7 linked regions of the Tribolium castaneum genome follow. The main gene of each other region encodes a partner of the protein of the gene in region 4 in a complex. Links are inferred from orthologs where the notes say so. Each region holds a gene or a part of one and is shown on either strand. Other genes may lie near its edges.

Region 1 (2,957 bases), on a different chromosome or scaffold from region 4:
AGCCACAAGACAGCTCAGTTACTATAATTATTAATCTTACACTGTTGCTTAATAAATTATTATTTTCTTTTAGTATTCTTTATTGATGAAAATTACGTTGAGTGCACTCGCTTCGATTGGATGTACTTTTTGTAATTTGTTTTGTCGTATATTTAGTAATATAAACCCTAAACGCAAGTTCTCACGGACCCACTTTAGTTGTTCAATTAAAGATGAAAATTTTTAATGGAAATCATCGTAAAAAACTTGATCCACTTAAGACACAACAAAGATTCTGACGATGATTTTTGTTGAAGTTTTATTGTTCAACTTGAAATAAACGACTAAAATCGATCCGTGTCAACGTGCCTTTAGCGACAACTGTTACAAGATTTATTATGGTTTTAAATCAAGATTGAAGGCGATTAATTTTTTATACAACTCGGTCTTAACGTCATGTGATACATTTGGCTGATGCAGTTTTATGTATAAATAAAAAAAATTTCTAATGAAACGACAAGTCACACTTAATTCTTATTTATTCCTATCAATACAATTTACATTAACAAGAGAAAACAGCCTAACACTAGATTTAGTTGTGGAAAAAACGAACCGCATACGTAATCCTCGTACTTTAGTGGTTATTTTTTATAAAATGTAAGGCTCGATGTTACAATCAAAATACAAAATAAAAATACGAAAGAACTAAACACAAGTCACAAAAAGTGGCGCGTTGAGCGTCTCTGATATTAATAGCACTTATTTTATTTCATCTCCTTGGTGTAGGCGTCTAATTCAGCGTCGAGTTCTTCAGCTGTCGGTTGTTTCTTTTGATTTCTGAAACTTCGTCCTCCTCCACGACCTGGCAAACAAACATTTGTTTAGTTGAAAAATCCGGCTGTTGGAGGCGTCGCCGCCGCTGGTCAAGTAATTGTACCTCTGTTAGGTCGTCCCTTGGCAGGTGCAGCCCCTCTTCTGCTTTGGAACTTCCTCTCTCCCGTGGGCCTCCTGACCGGCGACGGAATCTCCGACGTGATGATTTGAATGTTCATGGCGCGTCCGTCGAGAGGCACTCCGTTGTACTGCTTCATGGCCTTAATAGCGTCGGTGCGCCTTTCGAAAATCACATCAGCGGTGCCGAGCGACCGCCCCGAGCGGTCATAGTGCACCGAGGCGCTCTTTAGCGGCCCAAACTCGGCGAACAATTCCTGAATATCCGAGTCGGAGACCGCAAAGTCTAAATTGCCCACCATGAGCTTAGTGGGGCCCACATTGGACTGCACAACGGCCCGAGCCGCGGCCACTTTACGCGGGCCGTAGCCCTCGAACAGATCGTGCTTCCAAGCACTGTTCACATCTCCCTAAACAAACATGGATGGGGGTAAATTCCGGCTCTCCGGCTGGATGCACGCTAGCCGCTTCCATCGCGGGGCAGCTTAAGTATAAACATAGTTAGAAACAATTACCCGGGTGTACTGGCGCGTTATTCCTCCGCGTCCTCGGCCCCTTTGGACGCCGCCGGCTCTTCGGAACGTGCCGCGTCTTGGCGCGCCACCCCCGCGGGTTCCGCCGCGACCTCCGCGACGGCCGCCGCGCCGGGGCTTGGATTTTATTATCTCATCTAAACTCATTTCAATTGTGTCGACCATTTTTACTGATTTTGTACGCTGATTTGACTGAGAAATTCACTTTTTCTACACCCGGCGGCAACGCACACAACCAACGACAAAATGGCGTACAAAATGAACGACAGACGCTGTGCGCATGCGCCACGTCACTGCGCTGTCGGCAACACAGGAACCTGCCCGGATTTTACCAAAAAAAAATACGACCGCATGTATTAGGCAATTTTTTGCATTTTCAGCATAATACAGAAACAAAGAATAAAAACTTATTTTTATGTTTATGAAATAGGTAACCTATTTACACCAATGTAAAAACACCGCTGTATTATTGGTTCCCTATACATTCAATTTTTTTCAAACTTTGTTCTACCAGTTTATGTAGGTAGGTATTTGTAAATGAAATTTTGTTCTTCTACCTAATGTATGTTAAAATATTGTCAATACAAAACAGATGTTTATTTATATTGACTCATTAACACATTTTAGTGTTTGAAGAATCTTTGGCAGAATTGAAATATTGTGTAATGTTAGACTTTCTTTATTTGATCCATTAAAAGTAAAAAAAATCAAATGTGAACACGTTTAAATTTAAAAGAAATTTAAAAAATGTAATAAAAAAATATTAATTTAATTTAAAAATTCCAACAAAACAAACACTCACGCGAAAACGTTTAAAGTTCTCGGGTGTATATTATGTAACTCGCATACGCTCGTTTGCTCAAATCACCGTCTGTTAGTCATATAAACTTTGGGAAAAGTACTCAAAAGACGCAATCCCAATTTCCTAGTTGATATTGCGTTTCTGATTAATTTTTAGACGCTGAAGTGAAAGTTTCAACCTCTAATATCCCAAAAAATAATAAAAGTTTGGATTAAGTAGTTAATTACACAGTAATTAGATGTCAAAACACAAAAAATATTTATTTTTAGTTAGTTAATAATTTGTTCATCAGTTAACACTTCTCTATTATATTAAATACTTACTATCAACCCCGACATATTTCTCAAAATTCTGTGAAAAGTTCGTTATGAACGGAAAACTAGTTCGTTTTATCCGTAAGTTCTCCACCACTGAAGTTTAATCCTGAATTAAATTTTATTTGGCTTTGTACAGTAACTAGTCCCTAAGACTATAAATTTAGTTAATTAATTATTATATTGATTTTTTTAATTAATTAATATTTATTGTAAGGAATTGTAGAATAATCCTGAAAAAAATCACATGCACAGAGAAAACTGTAAAGCACCAGATGATCCTAACATATTTTTGATTTTATAGTTTTATTGGGTTATATACAAAAATACATTCACTGAGATTAAAGATCTCAGCATAATAATTTAAAGGATCGGTTG
Region 2 (4,299 bases), on a different chromosome or scaffold from region 4:
AAAGAGTCGACCACTGGGTGAATCAAATTGCTATAAACTTGAATTTGGAGTAAAATGTAATCGAACAGAAATCCCGGTGAACAGTGGGTGAGTTTGCCAATGAGGCGGCCTACAGGTTTGATGTTTTCCTTACTGACTCGTTTCATGATATTTTTGATTTGTTTTTCGGAATCTCCGCGCTTTCGTAACAAGTCGGGGTATAAAGAATACGTCTCGTTTTTCCACCGGCTGTAAAGACAGTACCTATTCTGATATGGGTAGAGTTTGAGGACCGTCCACACTTCCTCTGCGATGCAACAATTGCAATCCATGTACGAGAGTGACGACAGTATTGTCGTGTCCAACAAAGTCAAAATATCGTAATATAACGTATCACCAGACGGACAAGGCGATTTTGACGACTCTACTCCATAGGAATTTAACGCCGCTTTGGAAATTCTTATCACTTTGTACATCAAAACGGGATCAAAACGGAGCGAAGCTCCTAAAGTAATCAACATAGGAATGGCATGATCTCGAAGTTCCAAAAATGAGGTTGCTTGTTTCGGGCTGAGGGGATTTTCATGGCGCGGGATAGGTTTTCCCTTGATTTTTGGTCCCAACTTACAAAATCTATAACAACCAATGTGGAAACCTCACAGCTAACCCTACACTTAACTTACTCTCTATAAACAGGTTCAACGATGTAATGCAACAATTTGCACAGTGCTAACGCGATCGGTTGGAATGACAGTGCGTAGTGATCAGGCAGACGATTTATCAAATTTTTCGCATTGTTCCAATCACCGACTGAAAGCAACGCCTCGCAAAGCCCCAACTTTTGGTTCGCGTTAAATTTTTCCATGAGATTTTCCGGCTCTTCGGGCGTTTCTTCCTTCTCCTTATTATTTATCGAGATCACTTGTAGCTTACGCACGTATTCTTTTGCATCTTTCATCGCTTTATCACACTCTTTAAACATGATTTTATCCTCAGGTGTTAACTATAAATCAACCATGAGCCAACAAGTCTTGAAAAAATCGTTTCATTACCCAAAGATAAATGTCGTCCAGTGATATAATGTTATGTTGTAACAACTGCGCCGTTAATACGTATAGAGATCGAGGAACATTTGTTTCGCTACTTCGCAAAAAAGTGAATTTCGATGCTAGAACTTCACTCACGATTTTCGGGTCTTTCATATACGAGCATATTAGAGGGACGAAAATTCGCGCGTCTTTTGGTTTATTCTCAAAACTCTCCAGAATTATATCAAGGACTCGGTTTGGGTCGAGGTTGAAGCAACCAATTAATGATTGAACTATGTCTAGGACGTCCTCATGACTGGTATTTTCGCCAAACTCTTGGTTCAATTCCGTTTGTAATTTTGCGAAACCCTCACATTCCTCGCGAAATAAGTTAAATTTGCGCTGTTTGTAGCTAAAAATAAAATTCACTTATAGGTGATTTTTTTGTAAATGTACCGTTTTTGAGAAAAATAATAAAATGTGTTAATATGTAGTCGATAACAGCGCAGACATCGCATTATAATATTTGCACTTATTACTCGTATTTGTCGTAATTTAATGTAAATTGTTTTCGTAGAATTTATTACTAGTCCAACTTGACAAATCATAAATTAAACTAAAATTTACGATAGATAATATAAAGACAAATTTTTAATCAAAGTGTCATTTTTTTTTAAATGTGTTATGTAATTGCAGTGCCAAACTCATTATAACATTGTGTAATAAAAATATATAAACTATCTTTTCTTTAACAATGAACAATCACCTATTAAACTTTTGTTTTTTTGTAACTTGTTAGCATCATCCAAAATCTCAAATATTTCTCTTATTTGAGACAGTCTTAATGCACTTGCTCTAGCACGTCATTGGAAAACTAATTTTGTGCTCCAAAATTAATTTTCCCTACGTTGTGCGGTTCAAACTTAGAATTATACTTACTATAGTTTTGTCTTCACTTTAATAAACTTTGAATAAAACGTTTTGTTTTTCAAGATGCCAACTTCTTGTAGCGTGTCTATTTCTAACCGTTCCTTCAACAATTGGTCTGAAAGCAACTAAATTTTCTGAAAATTAGATCAGCTTCTAACATTTGGCTAAGACGTTACCTTTTCACATTCTTTTATGATAAAACACAAATTGTTCCTTTCTTTTGAATCGTCGTTACTGCTATCAGGTATGCAAGAAGAGTCTGTGATACTTAAAACGTCTAAAATTACCGAAGGAACATCAGGATGTAAAGACTGCAAAAAAAACTTGAGTTTTTGTGACTCTTGACTACAACAAGCTTACAACAAGCTCCTGGAGCGTTGAAACAACAGCCTCCACTTTCAACTGCCCTTTGAGTCCTTTGTCAATCAACATATTTATGTTGGTTATGAGACTTGAGACTCTCCCATTTTTGTCAAAAACCGGGGACTTGGTGTCATCTTTCAACAACTGCATGCATGTTTTAACACTGAAATAAGCAGGAACCTTAGCGTTGACCACTCATTATAGAATTAAACGCAAAATCAACAATACACAAACGTGTGGACATTGACTCGTGTTTGCAATTCCCACACGTATTAACACACGAAACGGATGCAAAATTCGAGCAAATGAACCTAACCACATTATTTCAGTGAAATGTGCACTTACAACTCTGTTTTTCCCGATTTTTCCCAACTTTTCCAAACATCGTTACTAACAACACCTGCCATTTTTAGCAACCAAGCGTCATTTTTCCCAACATGGGCGCCCACGCGTTGCCAACAGCGAACCAAAGACCCCAGATTTTCGAAACTTGGAGCAAAAAGCACCAAATTTTGGGCAAAATGTCAAGCTTTCGGAATTGTGGTTAAGAACAATCAAATTTTTTTTGTAGAGAATTATGTAGTAATTGCGTTTTTTGCTTGCGGTTTTACGTCCGAGTGGATGTAGTTTACGGTTGTTCAGTTTCTGTTATTTGGGGAAAATTCGGAAAGACCGCAAGTTTTTGAATGCAAGGTTGTCTCACGGTATCACGCGAGTCGCAATCAACCAACAAAAAATTTGCGTTTGTAAAATGTGGACGCATGCGTCCTCAAATCCTCAGTATAGAAGCGAGAATGGAAGAGGGTGCAGGTGATGCTGTGACAGAGCTACTAAGTGGGGTAGATTTCGAAAATACCAAACACCAAAAGGTCATTTCGAACGGATACGGCCCCTACTCCGGAGGCTACGCAAATGGATATACGGTGAATAATTATTTGTGGATACTCGGCACGTTTTCCGGCTTTTTGGGTGGCTCATCAAGCTATTAACATTTCATTAGTGCTGACCAAATGAAATTGATCCTTATTATTAATAATTTATTATCCTTGCAGTGCATCAATAAGAGGAACGTGTACAGAGGATCCGAGCAGAATGGACATGTGCTGGTAATTAAACACTGGCCTACATTTTTCTAAATCTCACTGTAATTATTTTGCAGGCATCGTCTGACGAGGAATGCACCGCCAAAAACATGAAGGGACCAATAAAAAACGTGAGTCTAATTTTGACGCCGTCGAAATTATTTATTGCTACTCGCGGCAGTGTTTATTTTCCTCAAAAAATTCCAACAACGCAACGCAATATCATTTAAATTTTTTTCAAATTTTCTGAGAACGCGATGAGGCGTCCTTATCTGCAGATTAAGTAACACGAATTCTTAGATAAGGACGGGACAAATATTACAGCATATACTCATTTACTTTCACCTTCGTAGTACAATCCAAGCATTTATTTTCAATAAACCAAATTGTTTATTCTTGATTAGAATATCTATTAGCTGCATAAACATAATCTCTACCATGTGTTTACAACGTATAAACACGTAAAATTCGATAATTGTTAGTTTTCCAGTAGTTCAGGCCATGAGACGGCTAATAACACACATTAAACCTTGTCGTTAACACTAAAGCTTTTATTTTGTGAGATAATTCTTTCAACATGTGCACACAGATTCATTATTTGACCCAGAAAAGCGCTCGGAAAGTTTGAATCTGCATGCGCCAGTAGTTAAACATTCCTCCTTGAGATCAACAAATAATTCTATTTAACGAGGTGCATACAGTTTATTTCCTGTACGTGTAAATATTTACGCACGGCACTATCACTCAAGATTGTACTTTTTAATTTATTAATTTTAACAGCTCTGTTTTGAAATTAATAATGTAATAATAAAGTCAAGGTTTTGAAGGTGGCGAAAATACTCGTTATTTTTTATTTTAATTATGCCTGGTTGGTAACACCAAGTTTGATAACGGAAGGAACTATCATTTCACTTGTG
Region 3 (4,273 bases), on a different chromosome or scaffold from region 4:
GAAACCAAAAAAATGTTTATTTGCATTAAATTTTGAGCAGCCACTTTCATTCATTGAAATTAAAGACAAAATTATTACGTGGCAATTAATTATTTGAGTGTTTTATTTTATTTATAGTTACTGTATTTAAAATGTGTCACTCAAAATATCACTTTTCAACACCGCATTTAAAGATTTTAATTGCAATTAAGTTTTATGAAATTATTGGTTTGAGAAATAAATAAATACGACACAGCAATAAAATACACCTACCTTCATATCGCTTCCACGTTGGCTACCGTTTGTAGCATTAAAAAAAAATAATAATAATATTGAAACCAAAAAAATGTTTATTTGCATTAAATTTTGAGCAAGCCACTTTCATTCATTGAAATTAAAGACAAAATTATTACGTGGCAATTAATTATTTGAGTGTTTGATTATAATTTTATTTACTGTATTTAAAATGTGTCACTCAAACGCGATCACTAGCCACCGAATTGAAAATTTAAACCGGAAAATTTAGATTTGCTTGAACACACGTCCGTTCGCGACAACGGCAAGTAACAAACTGAATAAATTGAACGAAACCGCACAATACACAATAATTTAAATAAACCGACTCACCTCGCTTCGCCTCGCCTCCCGCTCCCGCTCCCGATCTGACCCGTACCACTGCTCGCTGTCGACTGAACCGCCCTCGCCGCCTGCGCCGCACACCTAACCTCGGATGTGACGTCATCACACGTCTAAAACAGGTCATAACCAGAAACATTCACTGTCCAAATCCGTCAAATTTAGAAACATTCATACACAGAATTATTCAAAATAGAACAGTATTGATCTAGAAAAATTAATTATGACAAATGTATTTGTCTATAAACGTCTAAAATTATAAAAGTTTCGCATGCAGTTAATGGAAAAATAAAAATGCATGTTTATATTTAAACAGAAACTGGCAATGTGAAATTTTAGTGCGAAAATTAGTGGTAGAGCTCGGAAACTCTGTAAACGACCACGATAGGCGGAGCCAATGCGTACTTCATCGAGTGAGGAGATTGAGCAGTGGCGTAGCAAAAAACCATTCTATGATCAAGAAGGGTTTGAGATTCATAATTTGTAGTAGTTAAAATTTCCTCTATTCAATAATTGCAAGATGAAATAGTAAAAATCATATCTAATGCTAATACACGTTGATTTCCTAGAAATACAAAGCAGAGAGGTCGAATAAATAAAAATACACAATGAGTAAAGAGTAAAAACGCGTTTATTGCAAAAAATGTTTCTACTGGTATCTTTACTATAACTGGTAATATTGAAATGTTAAACTTTAAGACGAATTCCCTACACATGTAAGTACACGCCACGCCACTGTTTTCTGCCAACACCCCTAATTTAAAGATTGGACTCGTCCGAGACGAGTTTTCGTATCTGCGCACTCCTACCACCGTGGACGATCTGTCATTTCGCGGACTCTAACATTATTTTTGACCTTTGACAGTTGTTTACAAGACGATTCCGGTCGCTTATTCAAGTATTTCACACGAAATTGAGCGTTTTTCACGTTGGGGGCCCTCCAAGCGTTGCATTTAAGCAATGGGGGGCAAATTCGAGTCGTTACGGGTCGAATACCAGGTGGGCCCCGACATAACCTCAAACGCCACTTCTAACCCGGTTTTTAGGACGTTTTACGCAAATCTTTCAAGACCAAAACCACCGATTTGATCGAAACTAAAGCCAAACACTTGTCGAAGTCCGCCATCGACCTTAAGGCCCCTCTGGACCAGGCGTTCCGCGACGTCTTACTCGAACTCCTTGAAAAGGAAGTCAACGTCTCAGTCTTACGCGAGTTGGTCGATTTTAGCGTCCTAACATGTCGCAAGGAACTGAGCAACCCCACAATGCCAGTGATGCTCCTTTCGGACATTTTTGACGCCTTAACGCTGGACGCCTGTCAGGAAATGTTCCTCTACGTAGAGAACAATGTCGAAGTGTGGAAAGAGAACTTGTTTTTCAGTTGTTGCAAAAATAATTTACTCAGGTTGTGTAACGACTTATTGAGGCGGTTATCTCGGTCCACGGCGACCGTTTTTTGCGGCCGAATTCTCCTCTTTTTGGCCAAGTTTTTCCCGTTTTCTGAACGTTCAGGTTTGAATATTGTGAGCGAATTTAATTTGGAAAACACGACAGAGTATGGCACGGACTCGAGCCAGGAAAAGGGGGGCGACGTTGACGGCGACGAAAAGAAAAACGTGATCGATTTCACGTTTTATTGCAAGTTTTGGTCGCTCCAGGATTTTTTCCGGAACCCCAACCAGTTGTACACTAAAGTGCAATGGAAACTGTTTTGCACCGTAATTATTTTTGCGCATTTTAACCGATTTTTATTATTTTTTTTAGTACGCCACGAGTGTCTTTAACACGTTCCAAGGCCTCAAGCTTGAACACGTGGAAAATAACGGGAGCTATTGTGACGAAAGTAAAAATAAAATGTACTTTTCCAAGTACCTGACGAGCCAAAAATTGCTCGACTTGCAACTGTACGACGTCAATTTTCGGCGCGCCGTCCTGTTGCAGTTTTTAATTTTATTCCAGTACCTTTCATCATCCGTAAAATTTAAATCGTGAGTCGGTTTCTTTAAACTAGACGCACCTTTAATTTATTTTTTTAGCGAAAGTTTCGAGTTAAAGTCGGACCAAAAAGAGTGGATCCAATCAAGCACCGAAAAAGTCTACAGTTTGTTACGCGAGACTCCTCCAGACGGTAAACGATTTGCCGAAATCGCCTCAAATATTCTAAGTCGGGAGGAGTATTGGAACGCTTGGAAGAACGACGGTTGTCCCGAACTGAAAAAATCGGTGGTTCCCACGGAAAGCCCCGACAAGCGCCGAACCGAAGAGCGCCCTCTCTTAGGCGACATCATTAAACAGGCCTCCAGTGAGGGCAAATACTACATGGGAAGCACCGAACTGACCAAACTGTGGAACCTATGCCCCGATAACTTGGAGGCTTGTAAAGGCCGAGAGCGCGATTTTCTCCCCACACTTGAGGATTATTTCGCCGATGCCATCGCCCAAATCGAGTCACCTGGCGCAGTCAAAGACGAAGACAATTTACTGAAAGATGGGAATTACGGGTGGCGGGCTTTGAGACTCTTGGCTAAGCGCAGCCCCCACTTTTTCACCTACAGTACTGTGATTATGAACCCCCTGTCTTCGTATTTGGAGATGATGGTCAAGAAAATAGCGCATGATAAGCCAGGTCGCGTGACCGAAAATTCGCAAGAGTCGCAACAAAACGACGCCGAGGAAGAAAATTTGTTTAAGGACACGCAAGTTGATGAAAACACCGAAGACATCAAACCGTCCGAAACGGAGGAATTTATGGACGATAAGAACGCGCGAGTCGAGCATAAATTAAACCCGAACCAGTTGCAACTCTTCAGCGAGAAAGTGGCCCCCAATTGGAAAAAACTAGCCAGCAAGTTGGGCTTCAAAACTGACGAAATCCAGTTCTTCAGTATGGAAAATGAGAAAGAGGTGGACCAGGCCCGTAATATGCTACAACTGTGGTTCGATGACGACGAAGATGCCACTTTGGACAACTTCTTGTACATTTTGGAAGGGTTGGAGATGGAGGAGGCGGCGGAAATTGTCCGAAATGAAATCAATTCGATGGATTCCTAACTGTATTTAACTCGTTTCGCCCTATTTTTACTTTTCAATTTGCGTTTCATATGTAATTGTTTGTGATCAACCTTGGGACAGTCCCGTTTTTTGTGCCCCGGTTGTTTACAGTGGAAACAATCCTTTAATAAAATTATTAAACCTTGAATTGGGAGTTTGAGACTGACCTGAGTAAAGACCAAGTCGCCGCATTTGTGGTCCGGTTGGCAGCACCGACCACATTTTTCGCAGTGCTGCCAACTCGGTTTAACGCACCTTGCACACATGGGACAGTGGGTGTACGTCCGGCCGTCTTTCGAGGTGCATTTCTGGCAAATGGGGCAGTGTTTGTTTTCGTTTGAAACCCATTTGTTGCACTCTTGGCAAAATTTGTAGCCTTCATTCGCCGGAAGGACTATTTTACTACAATTTTTTGTCCCGAAAAGTTCGTAAAAATCGTCGGCTTACCTCGGGTCCACGTTCGTGAAAATTCGGACGGGTGACCCAAATTTCCGCGCCTTAGCGCCGTCTTGAAACAAAGGATGGTTGTCATAGTCGACTTTATAATCGAGCATGGAATAGTCGGGGAGGCTGTTTAGTATTTGCGGTTCCATAAAGTAGGGGAATA
Region 4 (3,164 bases):
AGTAATTTTTAATTGTTGCTTTGTCATTACCCAAAAATGTGACAAGATAATAAAGATTTGTAAAGTAGGCTGCAGAAAACTATTTAATAAGTAAAAACTAAAAAAAAAAATGCAAATGCGTTGTTGCAAAATTCTACTAAGTACTGAATATATGGATACAGTATTTATTAAATGAACTGGATTAAAAAATTCAATACTATTGCCACCTCTTCATAGCCGATAATTCGGTCAGTCATTTTCTTACGCCTTATTTATGGTCTTTTTTTAAATAAATTTAAAAAAATAAAAAAGTATTTCGTTGGTGCAAATTTTATTAAGGTTCTTTAGATTCTATGTACAACTCTGTATTCTTTGTTCGAATGATGTGAAAAGATAAGAGGATAATAGAAAAATAAAGTCCGCACCATCTGTTGACTTAGAAACACACTACGACGTCTCCCTTTGCCTTAAATAAGACGCAAACCCTTTTTCGTCAAGGAAAATTGTACCTAAACAACCTATTATTTTTATTGAAGTAATTTATTTGAAATGCACATTACAAAATAATGAATATTTTGAAACACATAGTTTCAGTCAGACGGAAACCCCCAAACTTTCAAACTCCCAGCGTCCCGTTTCCTATCATACGCATCCTTATCGTCACAAGCGTACGCCAAAAAGTACATTGAGGGGTGCCAAGCTACCGTAAAAGTAGCCGCTTCTACCGAAATATCCGCAATCTTATCACCAGTTTCAACAAATCCAATATCTATGATTAAATCTTCTGAAGCTGAAGCTAGCAACTGACCGTCGTAACTAAACGAAATCGTCCTCACGGGCCAATCCATTCTACAATAAAGTAAGATTTACCGACAAAGGTTGCAAAAGAGCGGTTTCTCCACCTTGTAAACACTCTCTGACACGCCAACTCGTTAATATCCCACAAGGAAACCAAAGCATCGGCACTACCCGTTGCAAAGTATTTCCCCGTAGGGTCAAACTCTATACAAATACAAGTCCCTGGATGCGCCTTCAAAATGTGTTGCCTTTTTAGTTCGGGATAGCTCAAAATGTGGACACAGCCTTGTCCGTTCGTTAGAAAGAACAAGTCGCTTGTGTTATTCCATGAGATTTCGTTCACTTCAAAATTGAACTGTTCTTCAGCTTCGATTTTGTGCGTCCTGGCGTCGATAAAAGTGACCAAATCTTCCTTGTTCCCGACTGCGATCGCGTTGCCGTTAGGCGACCACGTAATGTTGATATTCTCCCCTTTTGTATTGATTGTGGCAACACATTTCTGGACTCGAGTGTCCCAAATTCTAACAGACTTATCACCACTTGCTGTACTTAATAAGTCTGGGTGAGACTGGTGCCAACAGAGTTGGTCCACTGAACCACCGTGTCCCTTGAATGTTATTTCCTTATTCTGAAAATTGTCAATGCAAATTTTGAATTTTTATCCAAGTTAGGGACTCTACCAAACGATCTCTGTCCAAAGTGTAGATACAGACGGATTTATCGAAAGAACCAGATGCCAGACGTTTACCATCGCAACTCCAACCAACAGAATGGACTTTGGAAGAGTGCCCCGAATACTCTTTTATTTTACAGTGGCTCTTAAAGTAGTTTTGGAGCTCCTCAATTTTGTCTTGATACATGTTTCGATATAGGTCTTGGAATTATTAAAAGCGTATCTCTAGTGGTCACAAACCATTGTAATTATTTAAATCTGTATTAGCAAAATGGTTTAAATAATTAAAATTGAGAAATTTATAATCACCGGTAAAAACAAAACACAACATAACCTTAAAATTGGTGGTTAGACAACCAACAATACACATAGTAAAACCACAGATCACTAGCAGATGTGACACTCGTCTATCCATGAATGAAATTGCAGATGGCGACGCAATGACCTCGGTGGTCGAATGTGATTGGCGGCTTCCAGCAAAGCTGTATTTATGAATGATTCTGGAGTCGCCTTTCTGGTGAAATTGTTGGTACTAATCAGTATTGCCAACTCATTCCCCTAAATTTTTACTACGTGTTTACTATGATAGTAAAATCTATTACGTAACCTTAAAATTGTTATATTATTATTATTACAAAGTGTGTTATAAGTGTTTAATTACATTACTAGAACAAAGAAAATGAACTCTGTTGCGTTTAAAACAATTTCCAGTACAAATATGGTAAAATTGAGTCCATCTTAAATTTGATCACAATTTTGATGGTCGAAACTGTTTTCATTGTATTCCCTAGCTTTAATTTGATCGCCTTTCTAAAAAGGAACATTGATTATGTAAAAAAGTGTTACGAATGAATACTCATCTTTAATGAAGGAAAGGTCTAATAACAAAAACTGTAACTTGTTGACCTGAAATTTTTATAATTAAACATAAAAGTGTAAGTAGAACGAAAACTTATCTTTTTGGAGTTACGATTTTATGTTGTAGATGAATCTGGTTCATTGCTGTTGTTTTCTGCTGCTTTCTGCTAAAAATGAATAAATAATACCGGTGTGTAAAAAAATTAGACTTAATACTTATCTTTAAAAAACTGAAATTCTATCTCGCCTTTGTTGATCTCAAATTTTTGAATTAGGTAATATAAAAATGTTAAATGTATGAAAACTTGTCTTTGGTGTTGGTTTTCCACTCCATTCTTTTCCGACTACACTAAAAATAAAGAAACAATGATTACGTACACAAATTATACCAATACTTATCATTAAAAACTGTAAAAATGGTCTTCTCTCTGTGTTCAACGATGTGAAAGAATGATCAGTTTTCGATTTTTCACCGACGAGTCTGTAAAGTTCCTGTTGGCATATTTGAGGATGTAATAACATCGCATCCTGCCAAAAAGTCTTAACAAATATTCAACAGGAAAATTACTGCACGGGTGTGAAAACTGAACTTCTTTCAGAACCTGAAGGAGTTGATCTTGGACATTCGCTGTGCAGGCAATCCAACGAATGTTTTTCATCAGGGCCTTTTCCAATGTCTCGACGAAATCTACAAAAGGTTTTGCAGGCATTAAAAGTTTTCCAAAAGTAGTACCCGTGCCACCGTATTTTTCTGTGTGTCCCTTGAAGTGCGTGAAAAGTGTAGAAGCGTCAAGTTCATCCATCGCTGAGGCGTACTCTTTGCAGGTTGGGCATGTGTGTTTGCCCAGACACTTCC
Region 5 (3,006 bases), on a different chromosome or scaffold from region 4:
AGCGCTTTGGCATCCTCAAAACGTGGCAAAATCCAACGACAAACACTCCTAGTCATCAACAGTGACTACTTTGGCACCGAAAAAAATGCCCTTCAGGTGCAGAAAGGCGACGTTGTGGTACTCCAGGGTACCCATGTGCCGGGGTGGTTCTGGGTGCGCAACAAGGAGGGAGAGGAGGGGTTCATACCGGCGGTTATAGCCGGACACGGATTTTTGTAAATAAAAGTTGTACAAATTATTTATTAAAAATTTATTTCAAACAGTTTAAATTGTCTTTTAATACAGTCCTGCCAACTTAAATATGAAATTTGCGATTTCACACAATAATACGCCAATTTGAGCACTCAAACTTGGCCATACTGTAACTTAATTGTTCTTAAAAAAATAATAAGGGTTATAAACGATTTGGGGTCACATTCGAGCGATTTTTGACTCTTTAACGGTACCTTATCCTAACCTAAAGAGCATCAATGACAGCTGTCAAATTCAAATTCTGGACGAATTATTTATGGTTTATTATTTTACTAAAGACTTAATACAGAGATAGTTGCAAATTTTTGTAGATAAAGTTGCTACAAACGTCGATTTTGGGGCTCGACCCCGCAATGCACAAAGTCTGGAAGGGCTCATCCTGATGCACCGCACTGTACGTGGTCACAGGAGACGTCGGAATTTCCGTGATAATGTCCCCGTTAAAACTCATTTGGTAGAATAAATTAGAGCGCCCCCCTGCGAAAATCCTGTCTTGGTAGACCTCCGCCACATGAATCCCTTTATCGTCAATGGGGAACACTGTGGCGATATTCAGGGAGCGCAAGTGCCATAAAGACAGTCGGGGGCCGCCGCCGCACAACTAAAAAATCATTTAAGGGGGGCCACTTCGCCCAAAATTGCTGACATACCAGCCAATCATCGTTAATCCCAACGCCCCCTATCCAGGGCCCCAGCTCCACCCTGGCCACTTTATCCCTACTGTGGGGCTCGATTTTGCTCACTGGGGGGCCTCCTCTCACATCCCATAGCAGCACAAGCCCGTCTTCGCCCCCCGAAACCAGTTTATTGTTACTGAAATGCCATGTGACCAAAGTACAGGTTCCTGTAATCACTTACCAGAAATTGATGCAGTGAACGTAATTCTTGTGCCCTTTAAAACACCGCACTTCTTTTCGTGTCTCGATGTTGAAAACGTAAACATTATTATCGCCACAGGCGGCAAATAATAAATTATTTTCGGGCTCAAACACTAAACAATTAACGTCAGGTTTGTCGAAACTGTCTTTGGAGTTCGGGATTTCAATTGTCCACGAGCAGGAGGGTTTTTTGCTCGTTTTGACGTTCTTCCAGGAGTACCCCAAAATCTCGCCAACTGTCCCCACAACAAGGAACGCTTTCATGGTCAATAAACTGTTGATTTGGACGTCTTCTTTAATCGTGAATGCGTTTTTGGGCAGTTGGTCTTCTTTTGTGATCGAAGATCCTTGGTTTGTTAGCTTGGAAAGGCTGGAACTGGGGTTCAGGGGGCTGCTGGAAGTTACTTAATACTTACTGGAAGACCGAAATTGTGCCGTAAATGTCACCTACGACGAGATAGTTGCCACACGGGGTGAAAGTCTGGCTCAAAACAGTGTTATAGAACGATTTATTCAACTTGTTCACCATTTTGAGGTTAAGAAAAAATAACTTTTTGTGAATTAAACGCACGTTTAATAGGCAATATTACTGTACAAAGTCTGGTTTTATTACCAATTATACGATTACAAAGGGCGCAAACGTGTATTTAACATAAATACAGCCCCAAACATTAAACAATATAACCTCAATCGACTTAATACAGGCAACTTAACATGCAACGCGGTTAAGTTAGTTGCATACCTAACTTTATTTATGTTTTTTTTATGTCATAATTAAACATATTATACTATAAACTCTAAAACAAACGTAAAAAATATACCTTAAAACGTACACATATTTGTATAGATATAAAAAAAGAACGAGAAAACGCAGATTTAAGTGTTAAAAACGTTAAAAAAATCTCAGTTGAGCTAGTGGTGTTGTGATGAGCGTGCAACCAAGTAAGCAGCAGTTTGTTTAATCGTTTATTTTTCACTTTTTTACAAAACCAACGTCTAAAAATAGCCGCAAACATCTATAAGTTGTGTAATTTCACGCTTTACTTTGCTACCGCACATTTATAGCCAAACACTCGTTATAAAAAAAATATCAGCAAAAATAAACATACCGCTTGCGTATGGCATCCTTCGGAGTACATTTTTTAATCTGAACGGTTATTATTACAAGCGAGATCAATAAAATTACGTAAAGTAATAAACCCACCAAAAATAAAACTAATCTCCGTGTGCGTGCAATTGACGGTTTTTGCTTGAAGAGCACTAGACCCAAAAACAGGCCTGCGAGGCCCCCGATCATGTGGGCCCCCCACGATATCAAAGGCTCCTTTTTAAAATTGGCATGTAACACGTTGTAGATAATGTCGAAAATGACGATTATTCCGATACACGCAGATCTGTAGATTTTGTAATTCAAGGTTTCAAAGTTCTGAAAAAAATTACAAAAATGTTGTTTCTCGCTCGCTTTATACCTACTAGAAAAATATCGGAAATGTGCGAAATTAAAAGCGCATACACGCCCCCGGAGGCCCCAATGACCAAGTCGGGGTGAAAACAGGCCGCTCCCAAGACTCCGGTGATTCCCCCGGTCACGTACAAAACAAGAATCCGCACGCTTCCGTGTCGCGCTTCTAAAAAATAGGCGAAAAGCACTTGCATGAAAATATTGAGAGTCAGGTGGATCCAGTCTTCGTGCAAAAGCATGTAGGTGACGAATCGCCAAATTTCGGTCAGTTTGTGCGGTTCGAAGCGGAGCAGTTTTTGGGTTTTTTCATCCGAGGCAGCGTAGAAGATTATCTGGTGAATTACCATAAACATTAGCTAAAAATAATGCAAAAATCTGGTTTACCTCTAAAACACTGACTGACAAAATACCGAA
Region 6 (4,148 bases), on a different chromosome or scaffold from region 4:
CATTGGGTGTAGACCCCAACCCCAATATTCCTGAATTTGAACGGCTTTCTCCTATTTCTGGCGCTGAAAAACCAAAATTACCCCCAAAAAACAAACTCAAAATCCCTACCAAGTCGATTTAATATACATGGTGTTCTGTTGAAACGTCCCAGGGTCCTCCGTTTCCAGATAAATGTCCAGTCCGACACACAATGACATAATCTGGGCCGACAAAAGCCAATTTGCATTTGAAAATTCGTGGTTCCAATCGACATTAATCGACCGTTCCATGTCCTGTAAAACGAGTGAGACCAACCCAAAAACCCAAAATTACCAACAAACCCGAATATTATCATCATTCTGCGAATGTCTAGTCCCGTTATAGTTCAAACAAAGCGCAAAAATTGGTGGAATTGACGGATAATCGTTCTTGATAACAACAAAAGCTTGCAAATTTGCTAAAATACAAAAAAAACACTAATTAATCACGTGACTCACCAAACTTACCTTTATCACGCGTGATTGTCGCTTTATAGAAAATATCATTCGGCGAAATTAACTCAGCTTCTAGCAAACCCTCCGTAAATTTAGCCTCGCAAAAGCTTTGATACGTCCCTGATGACCATTTCGTAAGACTCGAAATCGTGGTTCGCGGCAAATCGACACTAGCCGGCAAAACAGGAATCACATTCCGCTCCAACTCCTCCAATTGTTTCGCCAAGGCATACCGCGACTTTAGGCGCTTTTTTATTGTTTTCATGACCGACTCGACGTTAGTTTGGCTCAGTTGATCCGAACCGGACATTTTATTCAAAAAATCAATGCCGCACATTTTTTGCGCCCACGTGTAGACGTAGCCAAGCTCTGGGACGAGGCTTTGGAAGGACCCCAAGCCGACTTTTTTCAGTTGGTAAGGGGTGCACGGGTTGGGGCTGTCCAGCCCGAAGTCGCCCTCCACCAGCTCCACGAGGACGCTTTCGTTTGATAAGACCTCACGAGCTGCGTTTCCTGTAAGAAAGACACTCGGGGGTCACTAAAAAAAATTTGCATTTTTTCCTCCATTATAGTAAAAAAGTAAGAAAGTATGATTTTCCCTTTAAAAGCGAGAAGAATTTTTTGCTGCTCACGCTCACGGATATTACGTGAGTATGCAAAATTTCAGCATATTCCGATAATAACAGGACATGACTCAATTGTAAATAGAGACGGAAAACAAACCAAGTAAAAAAGGTGTAGTTTATGTTGTTTTTCCTTATCATTCACAAAATACCTGTAACTATCCGTTTTTTTTTGTCTAAAAGAGGATTTTTGTAGATAGTGGGTCAAGTACCTGTAATATTGCTCGGAATATTGACGCTTGAAGATACAGTGACGATTTCCAATTTTGCGTAATAACTTAGTCGAATTTTAATTGAAGGACCGTCTTTAGTAGTGACAGTAACTTGTACAGAAAGCGGGTGAACTTGTAACAACTTGCGTTTTTTCTCCTCAAGTGGATCAACATGTACCGACTTCCGGTGACGCCGTTTCTTCGTTTCGACAATTTCCTCCACCTCCTGTATCTCAGCTTCCGGTTCCATGTCCTCCTCCTCCTCTTCTTCATCCTCTGCCAACTCCAACTCCTTCCATTGACTAGCCTCCTCCTGGTCCCCCATAATCTCCACACTCATCCCCGAGTCGTTCACCTGTCTGTAGGCGTCAATATTGGCATAAAACAAGTAAAGGGGGTTGGGTAGAAGCGAGGCAAGCTTGTGTTCAGCCTGGATCTTGTCAATGTGGAGCCCCAGGTGCTCCTGCACCGGTTTCGTGGCCTCCATGACCGAAGACAAGAGGGGCCCCAATTTATCCAATTTATTGCGACGTTCGGCAATATCCCCCTCTAGTTTTTTCTTCTCCTCTTCAAGTTTTTTGCACATGTCGGCCAAATGAATACGCTGCTGGAGCTCCCACTCGAGGCGCGCGAGCCGCAGCTCGTGCTTCGCCATTTCGTCGGTTTCATCAAACTAAAATTTTTTTTAAAGTTTTTGAAATTAAAAAAATTAAACCAACTTTTTTGAATTTTGTCGTTAAATTTTTCGGCGCTTCGGCGAGGAACTCCTCAACGGGGACCAGCTCGATGTGCTCGTCTTTAGACCTGAAAGAAATTTTTGGGGGGTTTACACAAAAAGGGGGTTTTCGTTACTTGAACTGGAAACATTTGCGATATTCCGACATCAGATGGTTAGCCTCGTACAACAAGTTCTGATATTGTAAATTAATACTGTCCACTTTTTGTTTTTCCGCAGCCAATTGTTCTTTTGGAAAAACCAAACGCACCTTCTCCATGCGGTTCAGTTTTTTCAAAAGCACCAATAATAGACACACTTCGGTGGTTTTTTCCGTAATTTTAGCCCTGACCTACAAAGCACACCCAAAAAATATACAAAAAAGCGACAAAATTCCAATTTACATCAGACCCACTCTTCATTTTCAGTTCACTTATTTCGGCGAATAAATGCCGAATTTCTTTGCACGTGTTGAAGTAAATCTGAGCGTCGGTATCGTTCGGTCGATTGAGGGCCTCTTTCTCCTCAAATTCGACCGATTTCTGCAAAAAAATCAATAAATGTGATAACCAAAATTAGGGAGGCGTAATTACTTTATAAATGTCGATTTCGGCCTCATTGTCGGCACTAGTCCCACTTTTGCGCTTTTTTTTCAAACTACTTGACTCTTTAACCATTTTTTTAAGCAAAAAAGATTATGTAAACAAGCCGACAAAAAATTTGAGGTTAGAAATGCGCAAACTGACAGACAACAGACGCCATTTTGTTTCAGGACACCACATCTTGGTTTAAACGAATTAATTTCTGTGTTTTTAAATCAAAATCCAAACATTGCGACTTATATTATAAATAATTTGGATAATTTCAATTATTAGTTGTTACGTAATCGGATTATGTAACATTTGGGTCGTTATATAATCATTCAGAGTACCGGACTTGTCGTTCGTGTAAAAACATTAAAAAAAATAAAATCGCACTTTTTAATATCAAGACTGTAAATGGTAATCACTATTGTATTAAGGGCGATTTTCGTGATTATTTCACTAAATATGGGTGAATTGTGAATGGCGCGAAATTTGAACGCGTTTTTACCTGCTTTAATTAAACATCGCGCACTTCTTGCCGCTTTCCGCCCGAATTAAAGCAATTATCGGTCCCCGAATAATTACTTGGCCCAATAAACAGGAGCTATTCTAATCGTGTAAACTTCGTAATTTAATAGTTTTTTGTAGTATTTTTCAATCTCCTTCCAAGTGTTGTTTACACGCGAGCGCTCGTAAAATTCTCCAGGTATAAAATCGAGCAGTGTTAAGATAGGACTTGGATGTTCTTGACTACTCATCCATTTTGCTAAGGACCAGGTTTGCAGTGGCACGTTTCTCTTGTATTGGTTATCGAGGATGTGGACGGGTTCTCAAGATGATAAAAAAGGTGTCGCGTCAGAACTACTACATAGGATCACACGTAGGAAATATTGCTGGACGACGATAAAATTTTATCGCCTGTCCGAAAACACATTATACAAGAGAACGAAAAGCTTTCCGCACGACTTTACGCGAATTAGTTCACCGAGGTATTTCTTAATTTTCTAGACAGACGGTTTATGCCGCAAAAAGAAAACGCCGACTTTAAAACGTTCTGAGACAATTGGGACAAAGTAAAATACGGCATGGGGATTTATTCGCCATTTGAATGCGCCGCCAGAAGTGGCTCCATCTAGCTTTGATGTATTTCCCCCAAAAAATATAAATTTGCAAGCTTTGTTATTAAAAATAAAAAAATTAGATTAATTATTTCGTAATTGTTTCGAGGCATAAAACACCGCTAAACGTTATTAAAACTGCGCAAACATAAATGAAGTGTTTTTGTGTTTTGCTTTGAATTTCATTTAGGTAAACAGTTTTGTTGCCAAACTCGTTACGCTCTTAACACTCCACTATTTTAATAAAAGTTTTACCGCACTATATTCGATTATAAACTGATATTTTCAAGAGGATTTTAAAAATGATTAAATGCGAAAATTTACTATATAATTCGTCACTGAATCCTGTTTTTTTACAGTGGAAAACCAAGGGATATTTTAAAAAAAAAAACGATTTTTATTGAAAAATAAGTTGAAAAAAT
Region 7 (2,751 bases), on a different chromosome or scaffold from region 4:
GACTGCAAGACTACGGGGGCGTGCCCCACGAGAAAGGCATGATTCCGGAAGCAATACCAAACTGGTTGACGAAATACATGGAAAAAGTCGCTCAATTGAACGTTTTTGAGGGAAACAAACCGAATCAAGTATTAATCAACGAATATCTTCCCGGCCAAGGCATAATGCCACACACTGATGGGCCACTGTTTTATCCCACTATTGCCACCATTTCGTGTGGCTCTCATACAGTATTAGAGTTTTTAGAAAATAACGAAAGTCGTGCTAAAGTTTGCCAATTACTTCTCGAAAGGTGTAGTCTAGTTGTAATTAAAGACGACATGTACGCTAAATACCTCCATTCCATTAGAGAAATTGAAACTGATGTTATTGATGAAGGCTGTGCAAATTTACTAAATTGTGAGAAACAATACGCCATTGGCGATAAAGTCAAAAGAGACACGAGAGTTTCTCTAACCATTAGAAATGTGACTAAGGTGCTTAAAATAAAACTATTCAAATAATTTTTGTACTTGCTTTTATTCGCCTAAAATAACATAGCTGATGACATGTAACCATGGTAACTGTCAGATTTTCTAACATAAATTAAGTAACCGTGGTAATTGTCACTTTTACCAACTTAAATTATTCAGACATGGGTTCAGGGCCTGTGCTGTCCGCCACATCCTCAAGTAGACTGTCGTTATGGCAATATTCGTTTGACTCCTCCAACATTGCTTGTAATTTGCTGGCGCTGGACACCAGCACGTGAAATTGTTTTCTCCTCATGTCCAGTTTCTGCTCCAGCAGCTCCTTTTCCTTGTGCAACTCTTTCAGTTCCGCTTGTAAGTTCGAAAGGCGTTCGTTTGTTTCCTTGCGTGCTGGCTGTTCGGCAATACTTTGTGCCAACAAATCGTACATCATGTGGTTTTGTTTCCATATTTTGGCTTGTACTAAGTTGTCTTTGTTTTGTTTGATTGAGTCTTTTACTTCGCTGATTTGCTGTTCAAATTTGTCGTAAATTTTTTTGTAGTTTTCAAGCTGACGCGATGTGGTTCTTGTGAGGAGTTGGGATCTCCTGACTGAGTATTCACAAAGGCTTAATTGTGCTAGTAGTTTGTCGTGGGTTGCTTGGTTCTCTAAGGGGGAGTCTTCGGTGGAATTTGCCCATTTTCGAAGAGTTTTTGCTATTACGTTGAGCCTGCGATCGTCGCCGGTTCCGTCACCGTCTATGAGTAACTTTCTTTTGATAATGTCCTCTAGAAGTTTTACTGTTTGGACACACTAGTAATTTTATAAGGGAAGTATTTACCATCCGACATGGTACCACGTTTGTCCTTTTGTTTCATTAAGGCGGATTTGTTTGCACTGTGGACGCCGAAAAATTTGTATTTTTTGAGGTTATGACACAAATTGTCAAATGTTGGCACTTGCCAACAGTTGCATCGAAAGTCTAAACCAAAAATTACTAGAAATAGCAATTAGAGGACATGTTGAGATAAGTGTTTTAATGGTTGCATATAACAAAAGCTTATAAAGCGTAAATCATTTAAAAATATGACTATAATTTATTTTATTAAATAATACGTATTTTGGTGATTTTGTCATCGGCTACGAATGTTTTCACTATTTTAAAACACGCTTTCCATAGCAACGTGTTTTAAATTTAAACAAAAACAAAAAATTTTGAATAATAATTTATGCAAAAACGCTTAAAGTTCTCAGGTGTCTAGGTGTCTCGCATACGCTCGTTGCATAACGACAGCCCTCGAACTTTAAGCTTCTAAAGTACCAACTTTAGTCCCGGAAATACAAAAAAGCAAATTTTTGTGTCGTTTTTTGCTCCTGTAAGCAATTTTTTGTGCATTTTTTTTGTCGCAACCTATTTGTTTTGAGTTGTTTTTGCTCCTGAAAGCTTTTTTTGTGCAATTTTTTGCTCCCGCAAGCTATTTTTTGGCCGTTTTTGTAAACACAATAATACCTCAAAAAATTCAACAAAAAATAAACTATGTATTAAAGATTTTTACATTTTAAGTGAATCTGCTCCAGTTTTTGCTACCACAAGTTATTTCTTGTGCTATTTTCTGTTTTCACAAAAAAGCAAAAAGTTTCTAATTTCAATTTTAATGATGTTTGTTATTTGGGTAATTTATTTATTATTATTTTGGATAGACATATTTCAAAATTTTTTATCGCTATTAGAGTATTTCATACGCGATGTGCATTTGACAAAAAACAGAAAGGTCTAGAAAGGTCATCACAATTTAAATTCAAAACAAAAAAATAAGATGAATTTTCGGTAAATCTTACAATAAACAGTCTAAATAGTTTTTACTTTTTAGACACGTAACTCGTAGTTTCATATTTAATTAAGCTTTAAAATATTGTTTTATTTATATTTTATCAATTATATCAAACTTGAAGCATTGCAAGATATTTAATATCTGGTTTCTATCGGTACAGGTACTAACGGAATGATCACCTGATGATTATATTTACTCTAGGTGATTTCACGTGTCTAATGAGAAAAAATTAATAAAGGGTAAAGTACACCAAAGTAAACATGACTGATAACGGTGTACTTTCCTTGTTTATTATTATTTTATTACTACTTGATTCATTATTTAAATCACATTTTTAATAAACGTGGATACTTTAGTTATCAATAAATTAAATCCCGTAATCATATTTTCAAAAATCCGTCGAAAATTATGATCTTAGCAGTTCAAAGTTCACTTTTTTCTTATTTTGTCGACGAATCTCCAATTACTC

Evidence for each region.
Region 1: tex (region 4) and Ref1 share a complex: the UniProt entries of both Homo sapiens proteins name them as parts of the transcription/export (TREX) complex. The link is inferred for Tribolium castaneum from reciprocal best matches to the Homo sapiens genes THOC3 and ALYREF.
Region 2: the proteins of tex (region 4) and tho2 are in contact, whole or in part, in a cryo-EM structure (PDB 7ZNL), measured with the Homo sapiens proteins. The link is inferred for Tribolium castaneum from reciprocal best matches to the Homo sapiens genes THOC3 and THOC2. Residues at the interface, in NP_115737.1 of Homo sapiens: Asp193, Met196, Ile208, Val217, Gln218, Asn221, Ala222, Pro224, Ser225, Ala244, Asp245, Ala246, Leu247, Ser249, Trp251, Asp252, Asp254, Glu255, Leu256, Val257, Cys258, Val259, Cys261, Ser263, Leu265, Asp266, Pro268; in NP_001075019.1 of Homo sapiens: Tyr395, Arg396, Pro401, Lys402, Gly403, Ala404, Lys405, Gly406, Ser407, Pro446, Ile447, Ala450, Arg454, Cys500, Asn501, Ala502, Cys503, Met504, Glu506, Pro563, Arg566, Gln567, Lys570, His573, Tyr603, Leu604, Thr605.
Region 3: tex (region 4) and Hpr1 share a complex: the UniProt entries of both Homo sapiens proteins name them as parts of the transcription/export (TREX) complex. The link is inferred for Tribolium castaneum from reciprocal best matches to the Homo sapiens genes THOC3 and THOC1.
Region 5: tex (region 4) and thoc6 share a complex: the UniProt entries of both Homo sapiens proteins name them as parts of the transcription/export (TREX) complex. The link is inferred for Tribolium castaneum from reciprocal best matches to the Homo sapiens genes THOC3 and THOC6.
Region 6: tex (region 4) and thoc5 share a complex: the UniProt entries of both Homo sapiens proteins name them as parts of the transcription/export (TREX) complex. The link is inferred for Tribolium castaneum from reciprocal best matches to the Homo sapiens genes THOC3 and THOC5.
Region 7: tex (region 4) and thoc7 share a complex: the UniProt entries of both Homo sapiens proteins name them as parts of the transcription/export (TREX) complex. The link is inferred for Tribolium castaneum from reciprocal best matches to the Homo sapiens genes THOC3 and THOC7.

The regions. Positions count from the first base shown.
Region 1 is NC_087395.1:19,979,840-19,982,796, forward strand, and holds Ref1 (THO complex subunit 4), read right to left. Parts: upstream 1,741-2,957; 5' UTR 1,629-1,740; coding exon 1,446-1,628; intron 1,341-1,445; coding exon 917-1,340; intron 842-916; coding exon 744-841; 3' UTR 501-743; downstream 1-500. UniProt on the Homo sapiens protein: Functions as an mRNA export adapter; component of the transcription/export (TREX) complex which is thought to couple mRNA transcription, processing and nuclear export, and specifically associates with spliced mRNA and not with unspliced pre-mRNA.
Region 2 is NC_087402.1:8,544,871-8,549,169, forward strand, and holds the start of tho2 (THO complex subunit 2), read right to left. Parts: upstream 2,801-4,299; 5' UTR 2,708-2,800; coding exon 2,646-2,707; intron 2,464-2,645; coding exon 2,298-2,463; intron 2,249-2,297; coding exon 2,114-2,248; intron 2,063-2,113; coding exon 1,947-2,062; intron 1,420-1,946; coding exon 1,032-1,419; intron 983-1,031; coding exon 663-982; intron 613-662; coding exon 1-612. Other genes in the region: serine palmitoyltransferase 2, read left to right, coding at 2,987-3,223, 3,353-3,406, 3,460-3,513. UniProt on the Homo sapiens protein: Component of the THO subcomplex of the TREX complex which is thought to couple mRNA transcription, processing and nuclear export, and which specifically associates with spliced mRNA and not with unspliced pre-mRNA.
Region 3 is NC_087399.1:4,612,862-4,617,134, reverse strand, and holds Hpr1 (THO complex subunit 1), read left to right. Parts: upstream 1-1,473; 5' UTR 1,474-1,575; coding exon 1,576-1,614; intron 1,615-1,661; coding exon 1,662-2,333; intron 2,334-2,379; coding exon 2,380-2,603; intron 2,604-2,651; coding exon 2,652-3,666; coding exon of another isoform or gene 3,667-3,788; 3' UTR 3,789-3,814; downstream 3,815-4,273. Other genes in the region: rRNA N6-adenosine-methyltransferase ZCCHC4, read right to left, coding at 3,663-3,788, 3,834-4,068, 4,114-4,273. UniProt on the Homo sapiens protein: Component of the THO subcomplex of the TREX complex which is thought to couple mRNA transcription, processing and nuclear export, and which specifically associates with spliced mRNA and not with unspliced pre-mRNA.
Region 4 is NC_087394.1:25,132,906-25,136,069, reverse strand, and holds tex (THO complex subunit 3), read right to left. Parts: upstream 1,829-3,164; 5' UTR 1,760-1,828; intron 1,709-1,759; 5' UTR 1,638-1,708; coding exon 1,458-1,637; intron 1,406-1,457; coding exon 882-1,405; intron 829-881; coding exon 570-828; 3' UTR 501-569; downstream 1-500. UniProt on the Homo sapiens protein: Component of the THO subcomplex of the TREX complex which is thought to couple mRNA transcription, processing and nuclear export, and which specifically associates with spliced mRNA and not with unspliced pre-mRNA.
Region 5 is NC_087395.1:25,800,898-25,803,903, reverse strand, and holds thoc6 (THO complex subunit 6), read right to left. Parts: upstream 1,841-3,006; 5' UTR 1,660-1,840; coding exon 1,547-1,659; intron 1,501-1,546; coding exon 1,111-1,500; intron 1,066-1,110; coding exon 903-1,065; intron 854-902; coding exon 533-853; 3' UTR 501-532; downstream 1-500. Other genes in the region: uncharacterized protein LOC103314375, read left to right, coding at 1-219; protein rhomboid, read right to left, coding at 2,221-2,556, 2,604-2,924, 2,977-3,006; DNA oxidative demethylase ALKBH2, read left to right, coding at 2,057-2,072. UniProt on the Homo sapiens protein: Component of the THO subcomplex of the TREX complex which is thought to couple mRNA transcription, processing and nuclear export, and which specifically associates with spliced mRNA and not with unspliced pre-mRNA.
Region 6 is NC_087399.1:3,176,526-3,180,673, reverse strand, and holds the start of thoc5 (THO complex subunit 5 homolog), read right to left. Parts: upstream 2,801-4,148; 5' UTR 2,702-2,800; coding exon 2,618-2,701; intron 2,567-2,617; coding exon 2,429-2,566; intron 2,377-2,428; coding exon 2,162-2,376; intron 2,114-2,161; coding exon 2,029-2,113; intron 1,983-2,028; coding exon 1,310-1,982; intron 988-1,309; coding exon 487-987; intron 438-486; coding exon 322-437; intron 274-321; coding exon 110-273; intron 64-109; coding exon 1-63. UniProt on the Homo sapiens protein: Component of the THO subcomplex of the TREX complex which is thought to couple mRNA transcription, processing and nuclear export, and which specifically associates with spliced mRNA and not with unspliced pre-mRNA.
Region 7 is NC_087397.1:9,556,705-9,559,455, reverse strand, and holds thoc7 (THO complex subunit 7 homolog), read right to left. Parts: upstream 1,450-2,751; 5' UTR 1,329-1,449; coding exon 1,292-1,328; intron 1,239-1,291; coding exon 625-1,238; 3' UTR 504-624; downstream 1-503. Other genes in the region: alpha-ketoglutarate-dependent dioxygenase alkB homolog 6, read left to right, coding at 1-503. UniProt on the Homo sapiens protein: Component of the THO subcomplex of the TREX complex which is thought to couple mRNA transcription, processing and nuclear export, and which specifically associates with spliced mRNA and not with unspliced pre-mRNA.